2 linked regions of the Oryzias latipes genome follow. Each later gene encodes a partner of the first gene's protein in a complex. Links are inferred from orthologs where the notes say so. Each region holds a gene or a part of one and is shown in the gene's direction. Other genes may lie near its edges.

Region 1 (17,018 bases):
GCATCAGGAAGCAATAGTACCTCCTATTTGGGAACACAAGAAGAGAGGGGTTAAGCTGTCTGTTGTTTTTACCGTCTATGCTTGGACTACAGAAAAAGATGTGGGAAAAAAATTAGAATTATTAAGAAAATGTTTAAAAAAATCTATCAGGGCAAGAATGGTTATTCTGACCAATAGAATGACAAACATCTGTTTGTTTCTCTATTGACGTCTATGGGATTTTGGCTTCTAGGAGCCAGCAGGTACTTCCTGTTTGGAACGCCTAGGGGAGGAGTCACTCAGTCCAGTTCTTAGTTACAGTCAATGGTCCACATTGAGGGAGCAGAAAAACAACAGGCAATTAAAAAGAAAGATGGATTACAGCTCAGAAAGAGAGAATCAGATTATGAGGGAAACTGAAGGGATAAGTGGAAACCTGATCAAACTGTTGTGTTATCTGGTGGTGTCTGCTTTGCCACAATACAGTTTTGGCTCCTTAAGACAAAAGAAGGCTGGGAACTCTTTGAAATGAGACTCCTCTATCTGGATAACTTCCCAACATCTCGCTCACTTCTGCATGCACTGGTGATTGTGCAAATCTGAAGACAATGCCCGTCAAAGTGGCCCTGCAGTGTGAATGCCGCCTGTGGTTTTGGCTCCTATTACGGCCGTCTCATTCAGCCCGGCCTCTGTGTGTAAACACGACAGGCCTCAGTCGCTACAGCCCAGATAAGGCCAGCAACAGAGAAGATGCTGAGCTGATTGAGTGAGCAGATAAGTGCTGCTTCATACACTGAAGAATGAGGCAACAACGTCCCAAACCACAGTAGGGTAATGAAGCAGCCGCGGGCACCCAGGGAGATGCCCGCCCACCTCTACCCCCTTTATTTCATCCTCCTCCTGTCTGCCACTGGTCTGTTGGTTCTCGTTAACGGAACAAAGAATGCTGAGACGCTTCAAAAGGGTCATTGTTCTCTACGTAACAGTGAAATCTAAATGACCCCCCCCAACCCCCCCTTTCCCTAGATGCACAGCGTATGTGCACTCACAAATACTGAGGATTATAGCGGGCGATGCGGTGCGAAAAAGCGACAGACAGGCAGGCCTGTGTGACAGCAGGGAGGCCCAAGGAAGGGACATAGAGATGTAATGAGGCCCCCCGTTCCACAGCATTGTTGTTGAAGGCTCGCCTGTCTAATCTGTGCACCCAAAACACACAGATGGAACGGTGGGACAAAAAGCTGGAAGCAACAGAAAACTTCCAATTTGTGTAACTGTGATGCACAGCCTGACATGCAGAACGTCATGAAAGACACTCCTACCCCACTGACTCAAACCTAAGCACAAAGACACATGCAGAAATGAATACTAACAAAAGGTGATTGCAGGGTCCTGCCCAGTAATCCAAAATGATTTATATAAGCAGTCTGAAGGTGTTTAGAAAGGAGATGTGTAATCATACACGAGCTAGGACAGAGACAGCAGAAACAGAGGCTTTACCGCTGCACAGCCGTCAGAGCGAGAAAGCTGTCCTTTTTCTTTACCGTGCAATTTGATGGATTCTCATGGGGAAGACGGGGGCAAAAAAAAAGAGCAGAACGTGTCTGGCCTGCATGGATTAGTTAGTCTGAGTCTTCAGCCTGCTCCCATAACTACATGGGACATCTGCACATGCACTCACACCCAAACATGAACCCACAGACGCCTGGCACATGTTAATGACAGCGCCCCGTCTGCATCACGGACTTCATGAAGCCCACCCCCAGCAGCAAGCCCCCACTTTCAGCTGCAGCAGCAGACAGCCACACTTAACAGTGACTGTTGAAAGTGGAACACACTAACACACATCTATACAAAGACACAGACGTTGCACGTTTTTCATTCTTGGTCAGAAGTTACAGCTGATAGTTTGCTGCTCTGACAGAGCATCCAATTACCTACAGAGACCTTGCCCCACCTTAGCCTGCAGCTACAGGATGCAACTCAACTCCCCAGTCAGGACAGCCACTAAAGCAGCATAACTGTATGTAATCCAGCTGGAAAACACAGCGGACAGGTCGGGTGCACCTTTAGATGTTTTGTCTTTAATGCACCACTCTATAGAGCTCATCAACGTCCTGCCGACTCATGACCCCCTCTTCAAATGTCACACAATGTCCCAATCCTGCACCCCTCCCTGCATGGAGCACCTTGTGTCAGGTGATCAACCTCCTGCTTCCTTTAAGCGAGCTTCACGGAGCAGATCTCTGCTGGAGAACCTTTTCTGTTGCTAAGGCTCTGCTCTCCATGAGGTTTCTGGGTTCTGACCACAGATCTACGTCTGTCCTCAACTATACTGGTGCTGGATCCATTAGTGAGATGGATTTGTGTTTCCCCTAATTTAGTGAAATGTTCTTGAGTGGAGGATTATAATTGCTTGTCTATTTCTCTCTTAGACATTAACCCCCTTTTTTTCTCCTTTCAGATACTTTTGTGTGGAGAAATGCCCTAAATTGTTACGCCTCTCTTTGGACAGCTCATGGACACAATAACTAGGAAGATATCTTCTCTTTGTGCGTTTCCAGAAGCGTTTTATTAAATTCTGTTGCACCGCACCTGAGCAGTGTGTTCTTCTGGTGTCCACTCATTCCACACCCTCACACAGGGCTCAAGAGGACCCACACCGGGACACCGAAGAACACGCTATAACAATTACAACTGCGATTGCTTTAAAAAGACTTTTACTCCCATCACTCATGATCACTGCCTGTCAGGAGGATCCTTGTTGGGTCGCCAGTGAGAATATTTGCTTTTCAATTAAAGGGTTTGTGCTAGAATCCCTCACACTTGTTGTTTGACTAGGATTCCCTTGTAGACGCTTGGCAAACATGAAAACTGCCTGGGACAGCGTGTCAAACATCTTCCATTCAGGGCTACATGGTGGTTAGCACTCTCTCGCCTCACAGCATGAAGCCTCTGGTTCAAATCTCAGCTGAGATCTTCGTGTGTGGAGTTTGTGTGTTTTCCTTGTGCTTGTGTGGGTTTTTCTCTGAGCTTTCCTGATCACCCCACCGTCTGAAAACACGTCATTAGGTTAATTGGTGACCTTAAATTGTGTGTTGTTATCTGTTACTGTGTAGCCCTGCAATGGACCATCCCTGCTGTACCCCAACAGAGACTGGGATGGCCCCCAGAATACACATGACCGCCAGAAGGGATAAAGTTGGATTAGATTTGTCTACATCTGCTTAACAAATTCATTGAACAATAAAGAGAGACTCATTTAGTTATTTTATTATAACTTATCTCTAACGCTCGTCTCCCTTAACAGCTGGAGCAGCTAGAACCATCTCAACGACAGCGGGAGTAAGATGGAAATGCATCACGGGGCAAAAAAAAAACAGGATTTCATTTCACAGTTACACCTACGTCTGACCGAACCCTACCTTTCCATTTCCCACCCTTTCCTGCGCTCCAGCGTGCGCACCCACACACACACACACACACACACACACACGCACACACCCACACACACGCACACACACACACACACACACACACACACGCACACACACACACACACACACAGTGTCCCCTGGTTCACTCCGACTCAGACCAGATGTCTCATAATTCTTTGACCAGATGAAGAATTTGGGACATTCTAGAAAATATTTGTTGAGCGGCTGAAGTGACCGAGGCTTGTGGAGGTTCTAGTCCTCCACTTGAATGAGCAGGCAGACTGCAAAGGCACAGGCAGAAGTAGGCAACAGTTTAATACACAAGCCTTACTCTGATGATGAAAAGCCAGCCGTGTGGCTTTTGCTCCAGGTGTCAATAATATAGATAACCTGACAAAGCGGTTAAATAGAAAACAGCTAGTCTACAGATTGTGTCTCACATGAATTGATGAGGCTTGGGGGGCCTTTAGGATGAACTACTGCAACTGAGTAGTCAAATAAAAAGAGACTCCATGCATCATAAACACAATCTCCTTTTGCACGGTGCAAACCTTTGTTCGAGTTTAGGGGAAACTGCTTTTAGAGGTTTGGTTTGCGGAGGGCCTGAGTGTCTGTGGCTTCACAAAGACCTTTCAGAGGAACTGGACAGTGTTTCAGGAACAGAGGAGTGCAATTCTGCAGCGTGCTGTCAAGTTTGTGTGTGGAGAGCTTGGTGTTTGTGTGAGCGTGTGTCTTATGGCTGCTAAAGCATCTCAGTGAGAGCAGAAGCTGAACTGAGGTGAAAGGAGCACATAATGTTTGTGGTCTGTGTGTGTTTGAGCATTACTGAGCTCCACATTCTGTTCATGTCTCTGTGCTATTAGTGCCTAAAGACGTGAAGCCTCAGGACATCAGACCTTTAGGGAGATGGTCGTGGATTGGGCCGTCCCCCTCTGAACCCCCCCATACGCCCACATTCATCCCCTCAGAATGCTCCAATACCACCCCCCCCTTCACTTCTCATTTGACCCCATTTGCCCACAATCCCGCTAAAGTGGGCCAACCAATAATCATCCAGCAGCCCAGCCAGGCTGTGTTTAGCATAACAAAGTGGAATCTGTGCCCGTTTGGACCTGTGTATTTACATGTATGGCGTGTGTTTACATCCAAATGTCTGCAGCATCAGAAGCGCAGACAGACGTGCAAACGGAAATTGGTTTATTCGCTCCACATGTGCTCAAAGCGCATCTGCATTTATAGGAGCCCAGCTGAGATGCAGCATCGCCGTCTGAGGTTCTTTAACGAGTAGACGTTGCCGCTGTCAGACAGATCCGCTTCCTCCTCACACCATTAAACTGAGTGTGGAGGCAATCTGCAACATTTGCCACAGCAGGGTCACAAAACCCAGTTCCCTCAGACAATTTTCCGTTTTTAAGGCCTCAGCTTCTCAACTTAGAGCTGCTGGTGTCACTCCCACCTGCTCCTCTAAAGCCCGGTCGGCCACAAATCCCACTTTTCAGCCCCTCTCTTCTAAATTGGAGAGGTATTTCCCCCCCCTGCCATGACACATGGGTAAGCTGTTATTCCACACATTCTCCTGGCCAGCCGGAGCTGGGAAGAGAGACAGCAGCCTGACGTGGAGCGCTCGGGGCAGCTGGTCAGGGGTTTGCTGCGTTCCGGGGCAGAGTGGGGAAAAAGTTCTGAACAAAGCAGATGGAGGAGAAAAGGAGAAAAAAAAGCGAGAAACACTTCAGCTCTAAACTGAAAGAGCCGAGCTAGAGTCACAAAACGGCCATCAAAGCCTCGCACACAAACACGCCGGATCGGACCGGGACGCCTGCAGAATAACAAGTCGGCCCAAACACAACTTCAGCTTTGACCGCCCCCTCTGCCCCCCCCCATCTCTATGTATGGGCAGCTCAGCCTGCAAGGCATTGGAGGTTAAAGGTCAGATGAGTGAGGTTATTGGGGCACATGAAGGGGCGTCTTGCTATTTTAGGGGCAGTAAAGGGGCAGGTTCCAACACTTGAAAACATTAGTGCTGAAGGCGTGCTGGCAGGCTGCAGGCAGCGCCGCACTGCTGTGACACTCCATCCGTGAGTGGAACATCTTATTTCAGGATGCCGTCTCAGCTGAGAAAACAGTCCAGTCCCGTCTCCTCTTCACACGGCGAACATGCAGCAGTTGAAATGCTTTTCAGAACAATCAGAAGAATGAATAAACGGATGAACATGGCAGCTGGAACCTGGGTGGGGACTGGACTCGTCTGCATGGGTCGGATGATAACAGGATGCTGCAGCTCCAGTTCTTGAGCTGTCAGAGATGCTGGCCAAACGCTCAGCGTGATAAGGCTTTTATTTGTCAGCCATTATAAACGGTCTCTTATCTGCTGTTTCCAGAGGAAAGTGGGCCAGAAGTTAGACTTTCAGACTGCAGCAGCCAGGAGGAAAGAGGACGCTAGGGACAACTTACCCAGCAGGAGGCAGAAGATGTCAAGCGCCACCAGAAACTTCTTCTTACTGTTCCCAACACCGCTGCTGTTTAACGTCGAGGTTCCACCGTTCCTTGTCTCTTGGGCCATTGCTTTCTCATACATGTACTGTTGCATCGGAAAACTCTCAGTCCGTTCTCAGCTCAGAGTCCCACAGCGCGCAGGAGGAGAAACAGTCCTTCAGTCGATCTGGACGGACCCACAACAACAAGTCACATGCGGCCGAACGGCACGGAAACTTTGGACTGAGAAAGAATTGGCGCTGCGCATCAAGTGTCCTTCTCGTTATATCAACCCGTCTTCTCCTCCTCCCCCTTCCTCCCTGTAGGTTCTCGCTGCAGCCTCGGCCCTCCTCCTCCCTCCGCTAGCGGTGGGTAATCGCCCCCATCCCATAGTTCCGACACTGTCTGCGAAGAAAGGGGGGGCAACATACCCCCCTGTGGCCATGCGCGGTACTACAGGCGCACTGCTGAGAGCTGCGCGCTCCGGAGCGCTCCTATAGCAGTTCACAGTCACCCCAGTTCACCGGGACGCACGCACAACAGGGTCAGAGTGCGTGTGAGCGTGCGTGTGGGTTAAAAAGCAAAATAAATCTTCATTCAGTCGAAGCTATTTGCTTTGCTGCAGTTTCTTTTCTCCCGTTGTATCTTTTAAATACACTATGGTGTGGATAAAAACTCCAAATTTGATAACTAATTATGACATTTAATTAGGTACCATACATTCTTATACTGGTGTTTTAGTGGATACGACTCGCGCAAGTCATCTTATTTATTTATATAAATGTAACTTTCATGGCTAAAACAGTCCAGCAAATATCGAGTATATACTGCCATCTTCTGGCCAAATAGGAGAACTTCACTCTCTTTGGGCAGGAGTGAAAAGGGAGTTTTTAATTAGTTTAAGTGCGAAATTTCACAGTTTCACTCAGTTAGTTAAAAACATAATTAGGCCAACAAATAACAAAATTAGTTTTCGGAATCTTCTTTCACCATTTCATCCAAAGTAACATATTTGAAAGCATATATAAAGTTTTTTCATCTAAATGTAAATAAATACATAGTTATACAAGCCATGCGATGGGACAGACGGTGTAATTGGATTTTAGAAGAGCATAACAGCAGGGGGAATGTCTGGAACAGACGTTTGACCTTGAACGCAGCACTGGTTGAGCCTTTCACTCCACTATAAATGAGCCACATGTAGTTCAAATCTGTGGTTTGTTCCTAAACAAATGTAGAATTACTTCAACAGATATCAATGAGAAAGAAAGGACTTCAGGATGTGTCATTTGACTTGAAGCAGTAAAAGAAAGCGCAAAGCGCCTTAAGGCTGCATTTAGGTTCCTATTTTTAAAAAGATCAGCACGCGCTAGTCCAAACACTTCCACAGTGACGTAAATGAAGGTCTTTTGCGCTGGTTTTCCTCGTATCTTGGAGTGCCTGAGCTGAGCTCGTGCAGCTTTGTGCCTTCACCACAAGCAAAGCCGTTTTTCACGGAGGGTTAGGGGTTCGCTTCCTGAGAGGAACAACCCGTGGAAGCTCCGCGTGATGCTCGTTTCTTTTTTTCGGACAGCTGGCACCTGACCTCCACCAGACAAGCCGCCTCTCGCGGTCCTCCCGCCCCTCCGCGCGCGCACCGAGCAGCGCGGCCGTCGGTAACGGGAAGATGGCAGAGCGGCAACAGCAGAAGCACGAAGGCAGGGTCAAGATCGGACACTACATCCTCGGCGACACGCTGGGAGTGGGGACGTTTGGCAAAGTGAAGAGTTAAGTGGTGTGTTTGTGTCTGTCTGTGCGTGCGTGCGTGCGTGGCGGGGCTCGGTTCGGAGCGGTTCGCCCTCTGAGTGGACCGCGTGAACTTGACTCGGAGAAGTTAGCGTAGCCGCTCGGTGCTGCGCAGCTAACGGTCGACGTCAGGGGCGTAACTTTGATCTGGGAATGGGGCCGCTTCAAAGTCAAACATGCGCCGCGTGCGCAGCCCCGCGCGCCGCCGGAGCAGGTACCGAGCAGCTGGATGGGGTCATTTCTGAAGCCGTTCCGGCCCAATAATAGGGGGGTTGCCCGTCTGTGATAAAACACCCCCCCCTTCCCCCGCCCAGATCGGCGGCTAGGGTTCTCCTGGTTCGGTGTCCGGAGCGCCCAGGTCAACCCAACAGAACCGCTACCGTACAGAGCTTTCACGGCCAACCCGCGTTTGCTTTGGTTCTGGTGGTCTCACCGTCAAAAGAAAGGTGGACTTGAAGCATTTTTCCCATGAGTCCCATCCCCTCCTTCTCTCTGGGGGGTCATGTGAAAGGAGAGCCCACCTCAGATCTGGATTCACGTGGCTGTCTGGGCTTTGAAACAGGCAGAGAGAAAGTTACAGGTCGTTGGACCATCAGGACAAGCAGAACTGATCCTAACAAGGTTTTTATCCTTCCAGCTCCCTTTGCTCTGTGGTCTAAAAGGCCTGTCTGTCCCCTCATGTCTGCTGCAGTTGGAGAGCATCAGCTGACTGGACATAAAGTGGCCGTGAAGATCCTGAACAGACAGAGGATCCGAAGCCTCGATGTTGTGGGAAAGATCAAACGGGAGATCCAGAACCTCAAACTCTTCAGACACCCGCACATCATCAAGCTGTAAGTGGTCCCTCTAAGACTTCAAGCGGCTGCTGGAATGAAGGCCTGCTCGGCTTCAGCTCTTGGCGTTTTTGTCTCTGTTGGACACCGCGGCGGCTGCTCTTTGAAGAGCTCGCTCACACACTTCACAAGCTGGACCACACACTCAGTGCCCTCCTGTTTACACGCTGCCTTCAATCCTCCTCCATGCCTCTTGTATTTTTCTGGAAGAATGTTGTCCTACTTTTCATTGTGAAGCGTTGTGAGCGGGGATCTTTAGGCCACACCCGATCGTCTGAAGGCTCAGGTGACCCGTGCAGCACCTGCAGAAACATTCCCCACATTTTTAGTGTTGTAGTGCTCTGTGTGGGGCTCAGATTGAGTTGTGTTGTACACATTCTCCGACCCTTGTGTGTGATTCAGGAAGACTAAATAACATTGAGCGACAACAACAATGAGGCCTCTGCTTTTGTTCCAGATACCAGGTAATCAGTACTCCAACAGATTTCTTCATGGTGATGGAGTACGTGTCTGGAGGGGAGCTGTTTGACTACATCTGCAAAAATGGGCGGGTGAGGCTTTTCCATCCTCCGTCTGTGTTCATCTGCTGTTCAAGTGATGTCCTAGCTGCCATTTGACCCTGGACTTCAGAGATCCGTCATCCTAATTCATAACTAGAAGGATCTGCATTTCCAGAAGAAAATGGGGTTGAATGCTATATTGCTGAATGAAAATGAAACTTAAAGGGTAATAATTGGCAAAAAAAAATAAAAGAAAGAAATGATCAAAGTAGACCATAATTAAAGGGAAAACAGCACAATAGCAAAAAAGATGACTTGTGAAAAACGCCAGCGAGATTCTGCACCAAGGATTCCCCATGTATTTCAATGGAGGCAAAAATCCTGGAATATCTTGAAAAGTTCAAGGATTTAAAGGACTAAAAGTCATAGCTGGAAAAAGCTGAAAGGCCTGAATAGTTCAATGAATAAAACAGCGGAAAAATTGTAGGAATTAAGCGACAAAATATGGCGGAAGATACTATAATAAAGAAAAAAGAGAAACAGGAAAACAATGGGTTGAATAATTTATAGCACTCAACCTACTAGGAGACTTTGTGGTTTCGTGATCCCAGTCATATCAGACACATCAATTTAACTTTGATGCTGTTTTGGTTTAATCATAGTTTGTCTTTAAATATCAGCCTCCATGGCTTTTATTTTCAGAGCTGCACACATAAAACCATGATCCGACAGTTTTCTCTATCTGTTTATTTAGAATTTTAGTCCTTTTTTTTTCTCAAGCTCTTGCTTTTCTGTTTCCCTGTCAACACTGTGTAACCCTTGTGCTATAGGCACTTAAACGTTGGGAGTTGGGTCATCTAGACCCACTAGACAGTGCTCTGAACCTTTTTTCTTCAATGATTTGTGATCTTCACTGGTGTCCATGGATTACATGAAATCTTTCCACCTTTATCCACCTTTGTCATGGTAGGGAGAACACGTCAATGGAAGGGGGGGGGGGGTCATCTAAGATAACAGAAGGGTTAATCACGTCTCGGTTCTCAGAAGTTCTCAGTTAAAACCCAACTATAGCCCATCCTATTGCAGCCTTTCAGAGCAATTCCCGGGCTTCAACAGTACCAGACAAAACACCGGAATTTCCACAACATTTATACCTAAGAAAGTCCTAAAAATTTCAAATGAAAGCTTGGTGGTTGAGGCCAAATGACAGACATTCACACATGTTGGAAATTAACTTGAGAATATAAAACAAAAAAACAAAGGCATGAATAAAATCTGGGCTCAAACAGGACAGCTTCAAAAAAACTCAAGAAAACAAAAACATGACGAAAAGGATTTGTATCTGAAATCAAAGACTACACTGAGGTTGTAACACCGGATGGGAAAACAAGAGTGAAGATCCAGAACAGCAGGGTGGAACAAGACGTAAGCAAACAGATGAAATGCACGAAAGCTTAAAGTAAGAAATACCTGAGAACAAAATTTGAAGACGTCTTCACAACAGCTTCTATTTCTAATTTATGTACCGAGGTGACCCTTTACCCAAACAGATGGAGAAGGTGACGGTCATTTCCTGTTGATAGTTCTCTGCACTTTCCCGAAGTGACTCCTAATACAGCGTTTCCTCGTTTATTGTGGGGCTTACGTTCTTAAAACAACCCGCAAGAGGGGAAATCCGTGAAGTAGAACTGCAGTCAGTAAAACTCCTCACAACACTTTCCACAATTTAGTCCAGAGGTGTCAAACTCATTTTCACTGAGGGCCACATCAGCATAGCGGCTGTCCTCAAACGGCCAGATATGACTTATACATGTCACTAAATGTAATGAAAAAAAAACATGTTTGCTTGTTACTCTTTCATAAATTCTTTTACATTTGATTCTGTCAGGTTAGGTTATATGGACAGTGTTTAAGTCCTAATGTATAGTTGCCCAATCCGTTATTTCAAGTCCAATTCCTCATAGATGTGAATAAACACAAACAAATTTTTATTTTTATTTTAAGAATTTGAAAACTTTTATGCTCTCGCGGGCCACAGAAAATGACATGGAGGGCCACATTTGGCCCCGGGCCTTGAGTTTGACACATGTGCTTTAGTCAGACAGACATGAACATTTTCACACTTTTCTCTCTTATTCAAACTCTCAAAGTTCAAATCTTCATAGAAGATAAAGTCTAGTATTATAGATCTGATTGCAATCAAAGATTTATGTCGATTTGGAAGGTTGAACACATTCTGTACAGGAGACACGGCCATGAGGAGATTGATTGACAAGGTCTACAGCCAATCAGGACACAGAACACTGTGTACTAGCGTTTGCATGCCAGCCCTAGTACACAGTGTTCTGTGTCCTGATTGGCTCTAAACCTTGTCAGAACACAGCGCACTAGGGTTGGCATGCAAAATTGTAATGAAAACTATCAGCGAGACGGTGAAAGGTGAATATAGATTATATATAGCGAGGGAACACTGTATCACCACGGTAACAGTAGGGTTGCACATTCTCTCCAAACCACACAGTAACCATCTTCCTTGACATTGTGTCTTTAAGGTGGAGGACCCAGAAGCTCGGCGTCTTTTCCAGCAGATCATTTCAGCCGTGGACTACTGCCACCGGCACATGGTGGTGCACAGAGACCTCAAACCTGAGAACGTCTTGCTTGATGCCAATAAAAATGCCAAAATTGCAGACTTTGGTAGGTTTTCCAGAGATGAACCTCAGCTGTGTGCTACTTGCCTCGGGTGGAAAGCAACATGGTGTACTTATAAGGGTAAAAAAATAAATCAATATAAAGTTTCACTCATCGGTTTGGGTTTTATTTATGTTTCCTTCTTAAAACAAAATTCCTGCTGCAATCCGACCAAGAAAGAGAAAAATAATTTCATAGGCACACAAGAGCTCAGTTGGCGGGTGTTATGGGTGAAGCGGCGTCCCTTGGTAATGTGTAGGTCTCATATCAAGTCTGGCAGGAAGCCTGAGGCCCAGTGTCATCTGATAGGAAATGAATAGGGGGAGTGCTGCAGGAGAAGTGTTTGGCTGAGAGCAAAAAGGCAGCAGATAGAAAGAGAAGGAAGAGATGAGGAAGAAAAGATAACGTGAAGGTCAGAGAGGCTCAGATTGGCTGCTGTTTAATGTTTGGCAGCAACCGGAACAGAAAGACAGCCTCATCCAATTAGAAGGGCTTTATGTCTAGAGCTTAGAGTCTTGGCAGGTTGAAGAGGATAAAGATCTCAGCAGGGCTTGAAATCACGTTGAAAAGTATCCACCACAGTTTTTATCACACAAAAGCAAGTTGTGATGTGTCATTGACCAACAGGACTGTCCAACATGATGTCAGACGGGGAATTCCTGCGAACAAGCTGCGGCTCACCAAACTATGCAGCTCCAGAGGTCATCTCCGGAAGGTGAGTCCGTGCAGAAAAGGAGAACAGTGGTTGGTGTTGTTCTTTTCACGCTAAAAGTTGTCATTGTTAGTGAGAAATCAGGGGAACTCTTTACTTGCAGCACTCATGCTGTTCTACTGCCCCTTCTGTTACCTCTTCCAGGCTGTACGCAGGCCCGGAGGTGGACATCTGGAGCTGCGGGGTGATCCTGTACGCCCTGCTGTGTGGCACCCTGCCCTTTGACGATGAGCATGTTCCCACACTGTTTAAGAAGATCAGAGGAGGCGTTTTTTACATGCCAGAGTACCTGACCCGCTCTGTGGCCTCACTGCTAATGCTCATGCTACAGGTGGATCCGCTGAAAAGAGCCACCATCAAAGACATCAGGTACTAACCCCAGTCCAGAGCTCTGCAGAAACACACATTGCTGTGGATTGAAGCACTCTGTGGTTGGCCTACATTGATGTTGCTGCTGCATTACCAACAGTTTAGCTATTATTCAAATGAATTTCCGTTCAAGCCTAGATGACCTAAATTATTACCTTTAGATGATCTCAGTAAGCAGACAGATTGGTGGTCAATCCATACTCTGTAGCTGATCAGGCACCTCCAGTCACTTTGTTTTCAAAGTTAGGATATCAGGCGTCTTGGAGCTTTGAAAATGTTCAATGAAGATATTTGATCCTTTAGTCTTGGAAATAGTTTTTCAAGCTCTGGAATCAAAAAAGGTTTCTTTACGACTGCAGTCATTATAGTCATGCAAACTCTTCATCCCAACGGTGGGACATTTGCTGATAATAAGTAATGAGTCCAAGGATTTCTGGGCTTACAGCAATGCTGCTTTTAAAAAAATAATGTCTTCCTGTTTTCATAGAGCTGTGGACGACAGAGGGTCGTGAAGACCAACGTTCAAGCTCCCACGTTTGTCTTATTGTGTTTGCTTTTGTTCCAGCCACTACAGAAGATCAGTTCTTTGGGGTTTTGGAAGTAAAGCAAGAAATAATAATTTAATAAACTCACAGAAACATCAGACTGAGGCTCGGGGCTGTCCGCTCTTTCCCCTGTAGGGTAACACAGGGTATTGCGGTTGAGCTGACTGTTCCTCTTGTGCTTTGTTAGGGAACATGATTGGTTTAAGCAGGACCTGCCAGGTTACCTGTTCCCGGAGGACTCGTCGTACGATTGCACTGTGTTGGATGAGGAAGCTGTTCGAGAAGTGTGTGAGAAGTTTGAATGCACAGACTCTGAAGTGGTGTCCAGCCTCTACAGTGGAGATCCACAGGTACTGACAAACATCAGGACTGTTTTTCAGAATTCACAGTAGTCTTTAGCTAAAGCTCCGACATCATTTCTAGTATTTTATGCTTGCAGTTGCACGCTGTAGGATGTCACATCTGAAGAAATGTCTTATCTTGTCTTCATTGTTCCTCCTCCTCCTGTTCACACAGGATCAGTTAGCGGTGGCGTATCACCTCATCATAGATAATCGACGCATCATGACGCAGGCCAGCGAGTTCTACTTGGCATCCAGTCCTCCACAGGGCTCTTTTATAGAGGAGGGTATGCCATTGCCCCCTGGGGTCAAACCCCACCCAGAGAGGATGCCTCCACTTATGGCTGACAGCCCCAAGTCTCGATGTCCTCTGGATGCTCTCAACACCACCCGGCCTAAACCGCTAGCAGTGAAGAAAGCCAAGTGGCACCTGGGGATCAGGAGTCAGAGCAGACCCCATGACATCATGACGGAGGTGTACCGGGCTATGAGGCAACTCGCTTTTGACTGGAAGGTAACGACATAAGCTCTACACACAGAGGTTTGTGCAGTAAACATGTGGCTCTGCAAATATGCCTGTTCTTGTGTGTCAGGTGGTGAACCCATACCATCTGCGTGTGCGGAGGAAGAACCCAGTGACGGGAAACCTGGTGAAAATGAGCCTGCAGCTCTACCAAGTGGATAACAGATCCTACCTCCTTGACTTCAAAAGCATTGATGGTTGGTGACAGATCAAACGTAGTTCAGTTCCCTTTAAATGTGCAAAGCTGCAACACTTACAGTCTTTCTGTGACTCAGTCCTGTAACCAGCATGTTTGTGAGTATGTAGTTTACAGTTTACCACAAGATGGCAGAATTTGGTGCTTTTGAGAGACCAGTCTGGGTAAATGCAGAGTTTTTTTCAGGAAGAGCATCCAAATCAAATCATACCAACAGAACTTTCGGTGTTGGATTGTTGAGGGCCGGGTTAACAACGACTGCCAGCAATGCTGTGTGCTGGTGAAAACTGGACTACTGTTAGTGGAAGAAGGACAGGAGGAAGGCGGGTTTGTAGGCAGAGAGAAAAGGAAAGAAAGGAGTGAAGATCTCAGAACCTTCACAGGAAAACGAGAGTCGAGGGAGGAGCGCACAAGTTGATCACATTTTGGACAGATGTAATCTGAACAAGACCAGAGTCTGCAAAGTGGTGGCAGTGGGGGGTGTAGCCAGACTGTTGAGGATGGTGGTGGGAGGATGAGTCTGGCGGTGAGGAAGACGAAGAGGACATGAGCAGAGCAGATGACCAAGTGGTGGAAGATGAAATAGGAAGAATGCATGTGAGATGAGACGAGAGATGGAAGGGTTTGCAGCAGGTGAGGAGGATGACGGACAGAGAAGGAAATGTGGTGACAGGTTCTACTAGTGTGATGGAAAGATGGGAGGAGAACGTCGATGAGCTGATGAATGAAGAAAATGTTAGAGAGCAGAGGAAAAGAGGAGGAAGTACCAAGGATCAGTAAGGAGGATGTGAAGAAGACATTGAAGAGGATGAAGAGTGGAAATACAGTTGGTCCTCACAACACACCTGTGGAGGTATGGACGTGCTCAGGAGAGGTTGTCTGAGGAATGAAGCAGAAATCTTCTGATGGATGGAAGGACCAGAAGAAAGAAGGGAGATGCGCAGAGTTGTGAAAACTACAGAGGAGTAAAGATGATGAGTCACAATAAAGTTATAGGAAGAGAAGGGGAAGCTAGACTGAGGTCAGAAGTGAACATTTGTGAGCAGCAGTTTGGTTTCATCGCAAGGAGAACAACCCAAATGCAATATTTGCTTTGAGGATTTGAGGAACAACAGAGAAGGTCAGAAGGAACTGCATCTTGTCTTTTTTGAGCGGGGCTTAAAAGTATTTAGTCAGCTACCAATTGTGCAAGTTCTCCCACTTAAAAAGATTACAGAGGCCTGTCATTTTTTAAGGACAAAATGAGAAGAAAATAATCCAGAAAATCACATTGTCTGATTTTATAAAGAATGTATTTTTAAATTATGGTGGAAAATAAGTATTGGGTCAATTAGAAAAGTACATCTCAATACTTTGTTACATACCTTTGTTGGGAATGACAGCATTCAAACGTTTACTGTAAGTCTTCACAAGGTTTTCACAAACCTTTGCTGGTATTCTGGTCCATTCCTCCATGCAGATCTCCTCTAGAGCAGTGATGTTCTGGGGCTGTCACTGGGCAACACAGACTTTCAACTCCCTCCAAAGATTTTCTATGGGGTTGAGATCTAGAGACTGACTAGAACTCTCCAGGACCTTGAAATGCTTCTTACAAACCCTGTCCTTCATTATCTGGTCAGCGTATTTGGGATCGTTGTCACACTGAAAGACCCAGCCACGTTTCCTTTTTAATGCTCTTGTTGATGGAAGGAGGTTTTTTTACTCAGAATCTGATGATACATGGCCCCATTCATTCTTTCCTTTACAGTGATCAGTCGTCCTGGTCCCTTTGCTGAGAAACAGCCCCAAAGCATGATGTTTCCACCCCCATGCTTTACAGTGGGTATGGGGTTCTTTGGATGCAACTCAGCATCCTTTCTCCAGTAAAATCAGTCTGCGGTTCCCAATGGTTACATTTTAAAGTTAAAAGCAACTTAAAAAATATTAAGGGTTTTTCAAAACAAAATGCAATCTATTTAAGCTGATGTTGCTTCATTTACAGAACATTCTCAACTCTCAACATCTAATGTTCTGATGCACTAACAGCAAGTCCTTCTTTTTTAAATATTAAGCTCCTAGAGTTCTTACTAACAGTTCTATTTGGGTTTCATCTGACCATAGGACATTCTCTCAATCCTCTCCTGGATCCTCCAAATGCTCTCTAACAAACGTTAGACGGTTCTGCACATGTACTGGCTTTAGCAGGGGGACACGTCTGGCCCTGCAGGGTTTGAGTCCCTGGTGGTGTAGTGTGTTACTGATGATAGTCTTTGTAACATTGGTCCCAGCTCTCTGCAGGTCATTCACTAGGTCCCCCCTGTGGTTCTGGGATTTTTACTCACTGTTCTTGTGATCACTTTGACCCCACGGGGTGAGATCTTGGGGGGAGCCCCAGATGGAGGGAGACCATCAGTGGTCTTGTCTGTCTTCCATTTCCTAATAATTGCTCTCACAGGTGATTTCTTCACACCTGTTGCAGATTCAGTCTCCCAGCCTGGTGCAGCTCAACAGTTTGGTTTCTGGTGTCCTTAGACAGCTCTTTGGTTTGGAGTGGAGTTTGGAGTGTGACTGTTTGAGGTTGTGGACAGGTGTCTTTATATAGATAACCAGTTCAAACAGGTGTCATTAATACAGGTAATGAGTGGAGGACAGAGGA
Region 2 (15,818 bases), on another chromosome or scaffold:
TAGATGCATGTAAATGAGGTTGACATGAGGCTGAAAGAAGCTCAGTTTTGCATTAAAGCCCACATTATGTAAAAATAACTGCAGATCTGCTTTTAGAAGATTTTCATCGTACTGTAAAAGCAAAACTTGTCCAACCCTGTTAATCTGAAGTCTTTTGTGTCATGCATGACCTCTATGGTGTTATGGGACAGCTAAGTTAGTAAGAGTAAGAGCCACAGGTGGAAGTGAAGGCGAAATGATTGAAGTTTTTTTTAGGTGCCAGGTCCAAGAAAAATACAGAAGACCAGGAGGGGGAATTCACAGAAAAGCCCCAAAGTGTGAGGAAGTGTGTTAGAATTTTTAGTTGTGACTGCTACTTTGATCTCCAGCTGGATCATTGGCAGTGCTTATGCATTACTAATAAAATAAAAGAACTTAAAATAACTTATAGTTTTTCCATATGGAACTAGAAAAAAGTGGTTCAAATAAACTGCATTAAAAACTAAACAATAAATATTTGTCATATTTTGGCTTTAGGTAGCTTACTGAACTTTTTACTAAATTTAGTTGAAAGAAATTTTTCTGATTCTAAAACAATAATTGAAACTCCCCATAAAACATTGGACAATGTGATAAATACAAAATTAAAACATTCTAAAGTAAATACCTTGAATACGTCTTTAAAAAAAACATTTTAATGTTATTTATTATTATTTATTTAAAGAATCTGCAGCAATATTCATATATAATGAGCAAAAATCAATTTTGATTTCACAAACAATAAACTCCATTTAACAAAAGCTATAAAATGTCTTGTTAATCATTTTTGCAATTAAACTCCTTAATAAATTCAAGAACTACTCATTTTTCTCTGCAAAGATTCCTCAAGTTCTTTTTTTATAAAAAACTATCAAATACATTTTTTTTATATAATTGTATGTTTTTTTAAATATAATGAAACCATATTTAAATTTTTATTTGATTTATTTTTGAGTTGATAATTGTTGTCTTGTCATTTTAGACTATTTACATTTTCATTTTTTTCAGAGAATATTTAGCTGTGTAAAGTTACTTTACCATATTTGTATAAATTTCTCAGTATCTTAAGAATGTTGTAACCCTTGTGCTATCCTAGACACTTTAAATTTGGGAGTTGGGCCATCTAGACCCACTAGACAGTGCTCTGAACCTTTTTTCTTCAATGATTTGTGATCTTCACTGGTGTCCATGGATCACATGAAATCTTTCCACCTTTAATCCACCTTTGTCATGGTAGGGAGAACACGTCAATGTAAGGGTGGGGTCATCTAAGATAGCACAAGGGTTAAAAAATCCATTGCAAAAATTAGGAATGCCTATGCACCAGCTATCCTGTTAATGTAAACTGTTAATAATTATCCTGCTCCACATGACTAATAATAATCAATAATCACAAACCAGAGTTTAAGTTTTGTATTTCTTTTCAGCATCTCTGGGTTCGTCAGAGCAAGTTTCCATGACTGGCCTGTTGAAGACGATTGTAGCCAAAGATGGCTTATTTGGACTCTACAGGGGCATCCTGCCAAACTTCATGAAAGTTATTCCAGCTGTCAGCATCAGCTATGTGGTTTACGAGTACATGAAGACAGGCTTGGGAATCTCTCATTGATACTGCATATGACTACAAAGAACATTCACTGTATTTATAAGACTTGAAGATGTAAGAAAAAATTCTAAAGGACCAAAAAAAAAGCTAACAAAGCATGATTTTATTGGTGGATGGAATGAAAGCTGTATGTGTAAGACTTGCCTGCCAGTAGTTACAGTATATTTTAAATCAGTTGTGGTGCGCATGCTTTCATTTTTACCTCGAGGTTGCACATGAAACACTCCTTTCCAACTGAGTCTTAAACAATGTTTAATCCATACAGTTCTATAGATATAAATAGTTTAAGAGTCATTTGTTTATGCTGCGTTTCTATTTTAAAGACCCACTCCGATCATCATGTGAGATATTTTGAAAGTGTTCCAAGTGTAACTATGACGTTTTTAGCCAAAAACAAAAAACCTATCGTATTTTAGAACATATTTTCTGCAGCACGGCAGTGGTTCATTAGAAATTCCTCTCTAAGTTGTGGGCAGAAACGTTAGTTCGGAGTGAGCCTGCCCCCATTTCCCCACTATTCAGCTTTTTACACTCTCTCCCTCGTGCTTACAACCCCTCACACCCCCAACCAAACAGTGGTACAAGAAAAATGAATATTGGACAGTTTTGAGCCAGATGCCAGGTTGGATGAGGAAAACAAAGACGTACATGGACCTATTTGTCTTTAAGTGGCTGTGTTGGAATGGAGCGGAGCCGGGAGCTTGTTGCCTAGTCATTGTAGTTTCTTCGTAACAAATGGTATCTTTCTTTTTCATCTGTTCCTAATTCACAACAATTTAAATTTAGAAATACTCAGAAATGCCATTTTAAGCTTAATTTGCTGAATTTAAGTCCCCCATCATCAGAAAAATGCCACTAGAGCCTGTCAAAAAATACCATTTTAATTGGAGTGGGTCTTTAAGCTTGATTTTAAAAAACTGTGACACAGCATTACTTTAGTTAAAAAGACAGACATCTTTTTGTTGCAGAGTTGGTTGACTCTTGTCCTTTGCTGTGTTTGCTATGAAATGTGAAAGGTGACACTGAGTTTTAAGCCCAGAGGCACAACTGAACCCTTAAGTTTCAAACACCTTCCTTAATGTGACGACAGAAACGCAAAGATCTAATCAGCAGCTGTGAGCTTAAGCCAACTGGTCCTCAAAAAATCAATGTGTTTCACGACACACCTTCTTGACATGTGAAAATGACTAACTCTACATTCTTCTGGTGGTAATTTATGAAATGTGCCTTAAAGCCTCTTGATGCAGACCGTGAACATGATTTTTTCAATCTTTATAAATATATGCTGTATTTATGTACTAACTATACGAACAGGATTTCGGTTATTCTATTTATTGAGTTATTGATGAAACAGTGGTAAATGGTCATTGCATTGAAATTCCTGATGAGAAACACTCTCATGTGTGACTATTTTTGCAACCCAGTAAGACCTTAGTAAGACCTTAAAACATGGGTTACTCACCTGTTCAGGTTGGTGCTGTGTTTAAATGTTAAAGCTAAAAGGTGGGAGGTTTTCTTTTTTCTTAAATTTTTACTATAAGACTGTTATTAGCCTTTTATGTTTTGTTAAAAAATGCATTTATGAATATTTAAAGAGTTTGACTGCTTTGGCTTTAGTTGTTATGCATATTTATGATTTGCTCTTGATGTTGTCAGATTTTAGGTATTGGAACTTTTTCCATTGCAATTAGTAAATTTGACCTTTTATTGATTAAACAGTCCCCATGAAATTCTAAAAAAATAAGTTATTTGGTTTAAATTATCTTAGGAAATCCTGTAATTATATATCTTAAGGCTGTAAGGATTTAAAGTACTTTGCTTTGCAGTTTAGTCCTGTTAAAAAGATTATACAGAACTATCCATTTTGGTGATTTTAAGTCTGCAAGGCTTTAATGCTAAAAGAAACAATTTATGTATTTTTTCCCCTTTTTTTTCTTCGCCCATATGAATCAGGTTGAAAACGCCTCAATTAGTAACTGCTTTACAGCAAATGTTGACCAATCAGGGCTGTCTGGTCTTTTAAGGAAAGGAGGCTTTTAAAAAATAAAAGTAAGAAAATAGCATCATGAAAAACATATCAGGGGATAATACTGTCATGTATCAATTTTTTTTCTTTTATATTAAAGCATGTAAAAAATTTAGGCAAATAAATTCATGAATATCAAAAATGAACATCAGAAATATGGTCTTTCGTTAAAATTTAAAAATGAGTGACAGAATAAAAGTGTTTGGACATAAATCCATTGATGTTCTTAACCTGCTGTATCCCTTTCGGGGTCACAGAGTCCCCAGAGCCTGTCCCAGCTGTTGGGCGAAGGTGGGGTACACCCTGGACTGGTTGCCAGTCGGTAATGGAGCCACACACTCATAGCTACACTAAGGGACACTTTAGACTCACCAATTAACCTATAAAGCATATTTTCGGACTTTAGCATGAAGCCAGGGTGCCTGGAGAAAACCCACACAGAAAGGTCCCAGCTGGTATTTGGACAAGGACCTTCTCGCTGTGAACTAAGAGCACTCACCGCCACAGTACAGCCCTGGACAGAAATACGCTCACTAAAAAATAAACAAAATTCAATTTCTCAGTTAATGTTGTAACTTAAACTTTTTAAAACATTTTATAAACACCCGCAACCAAAGCAGTTGTGATGTGATAGGTGAGCTGATATTGTAGTAACAAATTGCTGGGGAGGGGGGGGGGAATCACACCTTATCATTTCCACAATGTCATTTAAATCATTTTGTTTACCTTGATGGAAAAAAAGCTATGATAGAATGAAAAATGCCAGGGATGTCAACTCAGCTGTTTTACCTAAAATACAGTGTATTAAATTAAGTAATTACAACCCCCCTAAATAATTAATCACTTTGAATCGAGAGTACACATAGACAACAATACATATTAAAATGAATGAGAAACACTTATGCTCATTGCATTAACGTCATTAAATGACTTAAGTAACACAATAATTTGTATTTTTTTATGCAAATTAGGGTAAATCTTTTTTTTATTAAATAAATAGTATACTTGATACATCTATATGTTACATTTTATAGTATAAAAATGTCTTTTAATTTCATTTCATTTTATTTGTAAAAAAAAATTACATTGACTAAATTGTACATTATTTGGATAATTTTACTACAACCACTATTAAGAAGAGACACGACACCAAATAAAGAATTAATTACATTTATTTAAGTATTTGTAAAATTTCATAAAAATGTTTTTTTTTTTGTTTGTTTGTTTACCGGATGTTGTTTTTGTCGCGGCTGACTGCTTTTTTTCCTTTACCGACCGCCGTAGTTGTAAAAAGGGGAGGATCTTCGCTGGTGTCACAGACTTTCCTGCTGCTCTTCAACACAAATCATCGCCTCAGCAGCGATAGGCCGAGCTTCTAACCCTTTTCGGTTCTTTTAAATGACTAAAAACAACAACAAGTACTCTATCAAATTAGTTAAATTGTTTTAGTTGTTATTTACACAGTGAAAGGAGTTCCCGGTTCGAAAGCAGAGTGACAGCTAGCTAGCTGCTAGCTGACTTTAACAGCGACCAGCAGCTAAAAATATTCACCAGGACAGTCGCGAGGTAGGCGGGCACAGCAAAAGCGTCCTGCGCAGTTACCACGGTAGGTTACAAATAGTGTGTTTTGTCATACGAACTAAGCTTTTTATTGATTCGCAAGTCATTCGGTTGTAGTTAAAGCAGATTTTCGAAGGGACCCATCTGTGTCCAGGGAAGTTCACTGATAGTTCATGATGCTAAAAATACCTTCTAAACGTGGGTAGGTTAGCTGTTGTGAATATTTTTATTTTCTTTATAATCTAAAGATAAACGTATCGTTGTTTTCCACATCATTAGGCTGTTTTGTTTTTTGATTGATTTATTTTTAAATATGACTCTGGATCATCCTTAGTTCTAAGAAGAAAAAAACAACAATCACAACTGATGATTTGATGTTTTTTATAGCTATAACTTTAACTCTCACGAGTAACACAATTTTAGTTTATTTTCTGTAAAACCAGAGTGTGACATATGTGAATGTCACACAATGTGACATAAAGCGAAATAGGATTTGCTGTTTGTTGACTAAAGCCAAGGCTGATCAGTGTTCCATGAATCCAGCAGTGTCACGGTGAACCCACCAGTCTACAGTGTTCAGCAAACACCTGCGCCTTTGTAGTAAATAGAAGCTTTTGTGCCCTGAGCTTTTAGTTTTTTCTTTTTTAATTTGATCGTTTATCTATGTTGTTCACTGAAACCTCCTACTATTTTATCCTTTAAAATTAAGACATCTTAGCTTGTAAACTAATTTGAAGTGATGGACTTGATTATAGTGTGAAAGGTTTATACTGCTCATTTCTATGTAGGGGGAGGGGGGATCAGTGTCTCTGTGGGGACGTAAAAGGTGATGCTTGTGAAAACAAGCACCATCATGTGATCAAAATTCAATTAGAAGTTGTATTCTCTTTTAGGTTTTTAGTAAAAAGTACATTTTACTATGATTATTATAGAATAGTTGCATGTCGTTAACTTAAACCAATCTTATCAATGTTTTATGATACAATATTTTTTAAAAAGCTTACTTTGGTACTTAAGCAATTTTTGCCTAACATTACTTTCTTGTAATTTCTTAGTAATATGAAACAAAAGTTATCCTAGAGTTCGCTTAAATCAGATCATCTTTACAGAGTTCACTTTTTTTTTAGCAAGGGAGTTGAAGTCAGTCTGGCTCTTTACTTGGTTCAAATTAATAACTGAAAAAGGAAAAATAAGGAGAGGAAAAACTGTCACCAGATGCATTTACATGCCCTTAAGAAACCGAGTGAAACTGTGTTTACAGAATAGTTTCAAGTTTGTTTTTTGGCATTAATCTGCTCAGTGAAAAACAAGTTTTTCAGAAAAGACTTACATTGTAAACTGTTTGAAAAGACGACAAAAATCCTCTATGAAAGCAGAAAATAATAGAAAGCATCTGATAAATATGAATAATAAATATCCTCAATGCAAACATGAATGAACATTTGTCATAAAAGTGTTATAAATAATGGTTTAGTTCCCACTTCAAGAGTTTCTCCCCCCTATATTTTGCACAGTAAGCAGTGAAGCATCATGGGTAACACAAGTGACAGGGTATCTGGAGATCGGCATGGAAACAAGGCCCATCGTTCCGACAGCAGCGGCAGCCACAAAGACCAGGAGCACAGCACCAAGATGGTGGACAGCACAGATGATCCCAACATCTTCAACACCTATGGACCTGAGTCTAAAGTAGGAATCCAACTACTTCACTATATAATCTCATTTCTTTCATATTATAAATATTTATGTTTGCTGTTAGGGGCTAGGAGATAAAGAATTCACCCCGGATCTGGATGACCTGGTGAAAACTGCCTCCCAGGCCCGTCCCACAGTGATTCGCTGGGGTGGTGGGGGGAAGGAGGTTTATATCGCAGGCTCTTTCAATAACTGGAACACTAAGATTCCACTGAATAAAAGGTAAACCGTTGGTTTTACATCAGTTATACTGGTGTCGAATGTGTTTTGAAGTTTTGTCATCGTTTTAATATTGTTTGCTTTTTCTTTCCCTCCTCAAAGCCATAATGACTTTGTTGCCATTTTGGACCTGCCTGAAGGAGAGCACCAGTATAAGTTTTTCGTGGATGGACAGTGGGTTCATGATCCTTCAGAGGTACCCGAGTCATTTTTCTGTGCTTGTAGTTTTTGTGGAAAAAAGTTTGAGCTCTGCTGGTTTCTGGGTTGCAGTCAACATCAAAACCTAAAGGATTAACTGAAAGCGTTAACAAGCTAATTTGCTGGCAACAAGTCATCTTAACTGAATATGAAGTAACATGGTTGAAGCAATAGGAAATGTTTTCTTGGAGTATAAGTCAGTAAGAACAGATTTTAAGCTTGGCATTGGTCAAAACTTGTCAACTAACCCATCTAAAACAGATTGGACAGGATGGTTCTGTATGTTTTATAATTTCATTTTTAATTGTTTTTTTTTACCCCTTATTCATGCAAATATTCATTAAACAACTTCTGCTTCAAACTTACCTTAATCTAGCATCAACTTAAAAAGCACAAGCATTAGTGAAATTGTTGGGAATAAATTGGGCCGTCAGGGGGTTAAGTCTGTAAAGCACTTTGTTTCACTGTAGAATGAAAAGTGCTTTATAAATAAAGTTAATTTGTGTGTTTGGTCTCTTCATTTAGCATTTGGTGCTTGTCATAGCAGTTGTGTTTTTTTTTAAGGTGTTAATGTTTGACATGTTAGATGATTAACTTCAGGATCGTTGCTGTTTTGCAGCCGGTGGTAACCAGCCAGCTGGGAACGATCAACAACCTGATCCAGGTGAAGAAGTCTGACTTTGAGGTGTTTGACGCGCTGCAGGTGGACTCCCTGGAGTGCTCGGACACATCAGGTGCGTCTCCTGTGATAGATCTTGTTCTCTTGCTGCTCGCCTAAATAGATTGGTACATTTTCGGCCTTGAACACATCTTCATGTCTCCAGACTTGTCCAGCTCGCCTCCAGGTCCGTACGGACAAGAGCAGTACATCTTCAGACCCGAAAAGCACTTCAAAGCCCCTCCGATTCTCCCCCCTCACCTGCTTCAAGTCATTCTTAACAAGGACACCAACATATCAGTCAGTGTTTTACGTTTTCTCAGTGATTCATCCTTTTACTGTCAATTCCGTCTGCTTCCATGTTGCTGTTGTTTCTCTGAACAATAATCTTTGTGTTTTTTTTTGGTCTCTGCACTTCAGTGTGACCCTGCTCTGCTGCCTGAACCCAACCACGTCATGCTAAATCACCTTTACGCTCTCTCAATAAAGGTACATTCACTGTTACAATGTTGCTTTTAGACAGAATTTTCCATTTAAATTGGAAAATATATATATATTTTTTATCTGCCTCTTTGCCTCATCTTTTTAGTTTTCCTCAGTGTCGCTGAGTTGAATTTTGATCGTGACAGTTTTGGTTCTAGTTTGTCTTCATTTAATTAGCCCTGGACTGCAAGGACCTGATTGTTTTTACAGTTCTTCTTTCTTACTGCATGTTTTGGTGAAAATGTCACCCCTGCCACATTCTCAAAAACTCCCCAAACTTTGCACACGACACCTCCACCTCCAAAAAATGATGACATGACAGCAGGCGAAACTGTCAAAAAATGAAAGGAGGCAAAAAAAAAAAATCAACAAAACCAAAACACACGAGTCGGGGCTATCCAAAGGAAGTTTTGAAATTATTATTGGATGGCCACAGAACCATGAGGAGTATGAAATTAGGCGTTTTAAGTCTGCTACCCAAACCAAAGTGTTGTTGACCTTTGACCTTGAAAAGAGGCAGCTTTTTTATATTTTCCACAAAAAAATGGGCGGACGATGCAGTTTTAACTTTGTATTATTTTTGCAATTTCTTTTCTTCCAGAGTTGCAGCTCTTGAACCCTTTTGTTTTTTTTTTTCTTCTGTGTAGGATGGAGTGATGGTGCTAAGTGCTACTCACAGATACAAGAAGAAGTATGTCACCTCTCTGCTGTACAAACCCATCTAACCCGTCTTCAGATGCTCAGAGAGAGCAGCGTGTTCGTTTTCTTTTCAGTTTGCCATCACTTATAGACAGGAGTTGCACTGAAACATGTTTACAGGCTGCTCCAAAGAAAGCCGCACTTCTACACAGGGCTCTGAACAACGGTACAGGGTGTGGGGTTTTGGTAAAAGAAGACAACTCTACTACGGCTTTAGCTGGTGACATCTCCTTGCCGATGAGCCTGATTAAATCACTGCGTGGTGTTTGTATGTTTTCACATTTGATTGTGTGATTGTAGTTTTTAGATGACAGTAAACGGTCTGTTTTTTTTGTTGTTTCTGCTGCGTTTGCGTTGTTACTTTTTTTATGTCGCTCGCTGAATGTAAACAGAACGACAGGTGACCTTTTGTTAAGGTGAAGTGCAATAGTGGGTCATGAAATCATCTGTGAATTCTGTTTGAGCCAAAGGCTTGTATTCCTGTTTTTGTTTTGGCAGCCGTGATGCCCAGCTTAGTCCAGAGCTACAGTTGTAGCCATTTCTTTTTCTTTTTCACTAGTAGCTCTTTTTTTTCCACACAGGAAGTGGTCTAAAGTCTTTGCTTAGCTGCTGCTTTTATTCTGATGAATGTTTGTAAGCATTATCGTTGATACAAGCTATAACTATGCAGTAAGTAGCCTTTGCATTGTATTGTCTTCCATCTAATTAGTGTGTTCTCACATTTGTCTGCTTTGTTAAAGAAAAACTATCGTACTGTATCTGTGTGTTACACGTGTGGAGCTGCTTAAAGGTCTGTCTGCGCTCACATTTCAGTTTCATAGATGTTGTGAATACATTGATGTTGAGAAATGAAGAGAACCTAGGAGAGCTTTGATGATGACTGGTTGCCATTTATTTAAATTTTATATGTAAGACACACCCGTGTTTTGGTTCTGAGCTGCTGGTTCCTGCGTATGAATGCTCACAACTCTTCAAACATCAAGGAGAATCTCTCGGAGGTATGTTAGAGTATTCTGTGAATGTTAAGCCGGGCTTTTATTTTCTAAAAGCTCGGCTTTATTTTTTAAAACTAAGATTTGATAAAGGAGTTTGGAAAAGAGCCATGGATCCAGGGCTTTTAGGGCTAAAACCAAAACTTGAATTTTGCAGCTATACTTGATAAATCTATGAAAATGCTTAGCATAAACAATGTGGTAATCCTCTATAGAAGATTGTACTGTACTGCAAATAAATACACTACTCTGATCCTAATGCCACTCTCTTGGTCATTTCTTTTTCAATGAAACAGATTTTCCAAATGGTTGTTTCTAAAGTGCAGCTCTGGTAAAGGGTTTGTGGAAGTGATGGTCTTTTGTGGCATGTACTTCCCTGAATTAATGCTCAAACTTTGTTTAGCAACAATGCAACTAGTTAAAATCTAAAAGATTGAAACTTAAATCAATGAGAAATGAAACGAGAAAACAACTTTTTCAACTGTTTTATTCTCTCAAAGGCCTTGATTTCTAAGACAACACACCAAAATTAGCATTCATGTGTCTTGCATCAGCTCTCGCAGCCTAAAAAGCTTTATATACATATGCAACTTCAAACCAATCAAACATTTCAAATGGTTTTCTTCCCTTTATTTTTATTTTTTAGAAACAAATAGTAAAAAGTTTTTGTTTGTATTTAACAAGGTGACATTTCTCTGTCATTCAGAAGCTGGCTTTTTAGTTTTAGAAGTCACCACATAATGTAACGTTAATTGATTCAAATACTTGGTCTCATTCAAATGCAAATAAAGCCTAATGCGGTAAAACTTGAGGCCATTTGAACCACTGAAGCTGAAGAAGCTCTAAGACTAAATTCTGAAGGCAGGCCAACCAATTTTATTCGGAGCTATAAATGATTGCTGTCATATATGGGTATATATATCATAAAGGCATATTTGTGGAGATCACACATAACCTACTTGACTAAATATCGATCATAAGTGTCAGAATCTATTGAGAAACACTGCAGGCGAGCAGCAAACACGCAGATGTTTTTTATCCACGTGAGCACTTTTTGTTTTCAGCTATTGCACGGCTACCCAGATGATCAACTTTGCAAAAAGCAAATGTTGAATGTTCACAAACACGCTCACAAAACCCCTACAGAAAAAGCAGGTTATTTACAGCGCAGAATGCCAAGTGTACAGCCAACAAACAAATAAAGAAAAACAAAATACAGACCTAATGATCAGCCTGCCAAAGTTTGCATCATTTTGCCATTGCCATGGGAATGCTATGAAGGCCTGAACCAAGAGAAGATAACAGCAAGACAAAAGCATTTGGCCTCGTGGCTAAAAAGTTCGCTTGAGTTGAGTTTTGGTCCAAAAAAGAAATGGAGCTCGTCTTTCTAAAAAGTTCCAAATGTCCTGATTGATTTGGTTGTCCAAACGGTTACCGTCTCTGTGGTTCTAAAGGCCCTCATAAAAGACACCTTGGTAACCCTGCGGTTGATCCACTCTGGGCTTTATGGATAAGGCAAAGTCAGAGTGAGGAGTTTAGAGGTCAAACTTTGGCAAGAATTTGCAATCTCATCTTCAATAGCTTAGACTTCCAGCGAAACACTCTGTCATGCATTGAAATAAACACAGCAGCAATACTGGGCGTGTCCACATCATGACGGAGTGTAAATAATAATCCAGTAACTGTCAAAGATCCAAAATGAACATAGAAACATCATTATTGCACATGCTCAAATGAGAACTCCTACACAGGAGTGGGTACGCGTGTTTAGCCTGGCTCCACCTGTGTACTGCTATATTTTATGGTGTTGTGTTTGTTTAGCTTGATAATATTCAAGACTGGATTTTTGTTCACAATAAAGCCTCTCAACAATCAAAATAAAGTAACTTAAAGGAACCCTTCCCTGGTTTTAATGGGTCTTGGCTACTGCTAACTCATCAATCATAGGATTCCTCAACAAAAACAGACACATCAACTACTTACCTGCCTATTGTACATTCTTCCACTGTGTATAATACTATTAATAATAACAATACAGATGTCAGTTTTTTTGCATTGCATTTTCAAAAAGATGTAAGGAAAAGTGCCACAAAGCATGAGGTTGCACTTCTGTGGCAGTCATGTGAGTCTTGTCTTTGGGTGAGCAGTGTTTGATCTCTCACTCACACACAAAGTGTGTGCACATGTGTGCAGAATCTCTCTCAAGAGCCTTTTTTTAACATGCACAAACATCCGTTCTGTCCACAAACTGTCTGACTCTCAGGGGAGGGGCGTCTTTAGACACAGATAAAGGGTCTATGACAGAGCCTCGGCCAACAGGAGTTGACCACTTTTTATTTTTAACGATGGTGTACGTATCTGTGTTTTAGAAGTGGTTCTTGTAAAACGCCCCCCTGTTCTGTGGAAAACCACGCTGAGAGTCCACGATTAAGGACACACTTCACTGAAACCTCTGTAGGCACATTTCCATGAACCTTCTGTCACACACACTACATGGTAAACGGCTGACTGCGTCACCCAAAGACAAACGCACAGGGTGGAAGGTAGAGAGTCGCAAACAGGTAAGGCTCAATGTGCTGATAAAACTGTGCGCATACTGCCCATAAAAAAGAGGTAAGGTGAGTGTGGGCAGGCAGTCATGAGGAGGGAAGGCTGGTGAATGGGATGGCTTACAGGGTCTTGGCTAATTTATCACAGAGGTCAGAGGTGCTGAGGCTGCGTATGTCAACATCTACAGCAGACATTGGCTGCTGCGCTTCCTCGCCGTCAGGCGGTTGCTGGCTGCTCCGCAAACACCACCGGACTTCAGGTCACCCCGACCAGCAGGCCGCTCTCTGGATACACTTGGTGGGTCTTTAGCTGGACAAGGGCAGAAAAGGGCTGTGAAACCCGGAAACAAAGATGCATAGGGAGGTAATATTTCCTAATGAATAGCTTGACATTTTGAGTAACATATGTATTTGCTTTTGAATTAAACATGTGATGGTGGAATCCTACAATTCATACAAAACATAGAGGCTGTGTCAGAATTCCCTCACTACACCCTAAAAGACTAAACAGTGCGTAACTATCTAATGCCCTGGATTTTACTGTAATGTGGACACATGCTCACAACTTTTGTTTTTTTTTTAAACGCCACCAATTTGCTGAAGTAAAAACCTACTAAATAGGAAAGATTTTTCATGAATTCACTGTGTTCTGATGATGAAAACCTGCATAATTACAAAGAAAATACATTTAAATACTTAAAAAAAAAACAAAAAAAACAAATAACTCCAACCCATTGCATTGATGTTTATACTTGCTGATGCAGTGAGCACCAATGCACACTAATGTCTAGGGCAATGGATTTTGGACACCCTGACAAAATGACAATAGCACTATAAAGTGCACTAAGTAGAGTGTGAATTCAGACACAACCATAGAGTAAAAGTACATTTTGTCTTAATAAAATATTTTCCAAAACAGCATTCCTATATTCTTTTTTTTTATTTCTCATAAAAATGATTTAACAGCTCGTTTAAGTGAGCAAGCATTTAAACTAGACCTAAAATTTGGTCTCATAGTACTTTACTTTGAAGTTACAGTCAATTTGATGTAATGTTAATATCAGCAAACATATTTTACTAATATGAAGTATACTGAAACAAATATAGGAATAAAATGTACTTACTAAAATTTTAAAAACAGGATAGACAATATAGTCTTTTTGTTTCTCAAAATGTCACGCAATTCGTTTATAAATAGCACAACAGCAAGGACTCATTTGCATCTGGCTGCACCTACTGGCACACTACTGTGAGCTCAGCTCTGAATGAGAGATCGAACAGCAAGCGGCAGCCCTCAAACCTCCTATGATGGTTCCTTTGCTCTGCCTCATAGTGTGACTGCATGAAGCTTTTCATGGAAGCGCTATTTCTAAAGGTTACAGCTTTTTTTAGTTTGTCACACATCCAAATCTAATAATGTGTGAAGCTTTAAATAGATTATGTTTGATATTAAGGGCGAGCACCAGTGAATGGCACGGATAGAGGTTTTATTTGACAGCTGTCAAAAACTCTAAGTATATTTGCTGTTATGAAACGATGTCTGTTTGTGTCTGATGGTATTAGCCCCCTCTTATATCTGACATACTTTACTTTTTAAATGTTACTTTGCTAAAGCAGGAATGATGAGTGAAGATGGAATTCTCTTTAGGAAGTGATGCAAAATGTCAGGATGGTTAGCTGAAGCAGGTAGAAGCCGCCTCACACACGAATGTGAGGAAATGAAAACAGAACCTGGCAAGACTTGACAATTACCAGCATAGGGAGAGGAAGAGGAGGAGCTAAGAGAAGAAAGTCTCTGCTCATTCTTCTGGGGGTGGGGGTGGGGGTTTTAGAGGAAAGAAGGGAGAAGTAAGACACTGAACGGATGACAACAAGACTCAACACCACATGGTCCAGAGAAACATCCGGCTGATGTGTGCAGACGGGGATCTAGCTGGACGTTCATGTGAAGCGTTTGGTTACCTCAAGATTTGTCCTTGCTTTTTTCAGCACATCACGAGTCCTTGACACTGCAAAAACAAAAAGGAGAAACAGTATTTGTTCGTGTAACTGTGTTGCTTTTAAAGTTCCATCCTTGGTTCTACATTTTTTAATTTGTACAAGTCTCCGCTTGATGCCATGTCTCCACTTAGGAGACAAGGTATCAACTTTAATAGTTATGCTGATGACACCCTATTATATGTGGCTGTGTCTCCTGATGACATGGGACTTATTAATGACCTTTAAAAGACCCATTCTAATGGAAATTGTGTTTTTGGTGTAGATGTTCTTGTGGCATTTTTTTTAAATGATGGAGGACATATATATAGAAAAGAAAAAGTTAAAATTTGAGTATTTCTTTATTTAAATCATTGTAAATCAGGAGCAGACGGAAAAATGCAGTTGGAAACAGCTTGTAGCTGTGACCTAAAATCTACAATCAGCGGATCACAAGCTCCCTGCGCAGCTCCATTCTGATGCACCCACTTGCAGACAAAGAGATCCATGTACGCCTTCGCTTTCCTCTTATGAGTTGGCATCTGGCTCAAAACTGTACGGCTGGATAGCCCTAATATAGTTCACCATTTTTGTTGCACTGATAATGTTCTGTTGGGTTTGTGAGGGGCTGTAAGCTAGCGGGAGAGCGTGTAAACCGATCGATGATGGGAAATGGATCAAATGATGATTAGAGTGGGACTTTAAATTGTATTTTGTAACTATTGAAACAATTTCAAGCTCAATCAGGACAAAACAAGGATTTTCATTCCTAAGAGAGTGCCCAATTTAACTTATCAGTGCATAATTTGAAAGTCTGCAATAAACCTCAGTATGATTTCAGATGCAGATATTACCTCTTGAAGCACCAACAAACCAAGTTACAAAGACTGCCTTTTATCATTTTAGAAGTATTCCCCAAGTGAGACCCTTTCTCTCCAGAGCCAGGGCCGAAATATTAAACTTTAAAACTTCTGCAATAGATTATTGCAATGCCCTTCTTTCTATGAATCAGCTGCAGCTAGTTCAGAACTCAGAACCAGAAATTTCTATTTCATTTTTATCAGAATTACTTTCAGTTTATGACCCTCCCAGATCCATCAGGTCCAGCTCGGCTCGTGGTGCCAAAGGTCAGAACAAA

What was found.
Region 2: the proteins of prkaa2 (region 1) and 5'-AMP-activated protein kinase subunit beta-2 are in contact, whole or in part, in a crystal structure (PDB 6B2E), measured with the Homo sapiens proteins. The link is inferred for Oryzias latipes from reciprocal best matches to the Homo sapiens genes PRKAA2 and PRKAB2. Residues at the interface, in NP_006243.2 of Homo sapiens: Gly9, Arg10, Val11, Lys12, Ile13, Thr21, Asn48, Arg49, Val58, Gln66, Gln81, Val82, Ile83, Ser84, Thr85, Pro86, Thr87, Asp88, Phe89, Met134, Met164, Ser165, Asp166, Gly167, Glu168, Phe169, Leu189, Ala191, Glu194, Pro253; in NP_005390.1 of Homo sapiens: Val60, Ser61, Gln64, Glu67, Asp68, Ser69, Thr73, Gln74, Ala76, Pro78, Thr79, Val80, Ile81, Arg82, Ile106, Ser108, Val113, Ile115, Val155, Ser158, Asp159, Phe160, Glu161, Phe163, Asp164, Lys167, Leu168, Gln191, Met193, Tyr194.

Annotation. Positions count from the first base shown.
Region 1 is NC_019862.2:3,525,144-3,542,161, forward strand, and holds the start of prkaa2 (5'-AMP-activated protein kinase catalytic subunit alpha-2), read left to right. Parts: upstream 1-7,244; 5' UTR 7,245-7,554; coding exon 7,555-7,654; intron 7,655-8,364; coding exon 8,365-8,506; intron 8,507-8,963; coding exon 8,964-9,057; intron 9,058-11,558; coding exon 11,559-11,703; intron 11,704-12,324; coding exon 12,325-12,412; intron 12,413-12,553; coding exon 12,554-12,778; intron 12,779-13,510; coding exon 13,511-13,673; intron 13,674-13,839; coding exon 13,840-14,178; intron 14,179-14,257; coding exon 14,258-14,384; intron 14,385-17,018. Other genes in the region: plpp3 (phospholipid phosphatase 3), read right to left, coding at 5,868-6,003. UniProt on the Homo sapiens protein: Catalytic subunit of AMP-activated protein kinase (AMPK), an energy sensor protein kinase that plays a key role in regulating cellular energy metabolism.
Region 2 is NC_019875.2:22,979,701-22,995,518, reverse strand, and holds 5'-AMP-activated protein kinase subunit beta-2, read left to right. Parts: upstream 1-4,934; 5' UTR 4,935-5,256; intron 5,257-6,724; 5' UTR 6,725-6,740; coding exon 6,741-6,899; intron 6,900-6,969; coding exon 6,970-7,127; intron 7,128-7,226; coding exon 7,227-7,320; intron 7,321-7,941; coding exon 7,942-8,056; intron 8,057-8,146; coding exon 8,147-8,280; intron 8,281-8,400; coding exon 8,401-8,469; intron 8,470-9,110; coding exon 9,111-9,188; 3' UTR 9,189-10,414; downstream 10,415-15,818. Other genes in the region: calcium-binding mitochondrial carrier protein SCaMC-1, read left to right, coding at 1,446-1,627; pde4dip (myomegalin), read right to left, coding at 12,886-13,013, 14,456-14,510, 14,666-14,712. UniProt on the Homo sapiens protein: Non-catalytic subunit of AMP-activated protein kinase (AMPK), an energy sensor protein kinase that plays a key role in regulating cellular energy metabolism.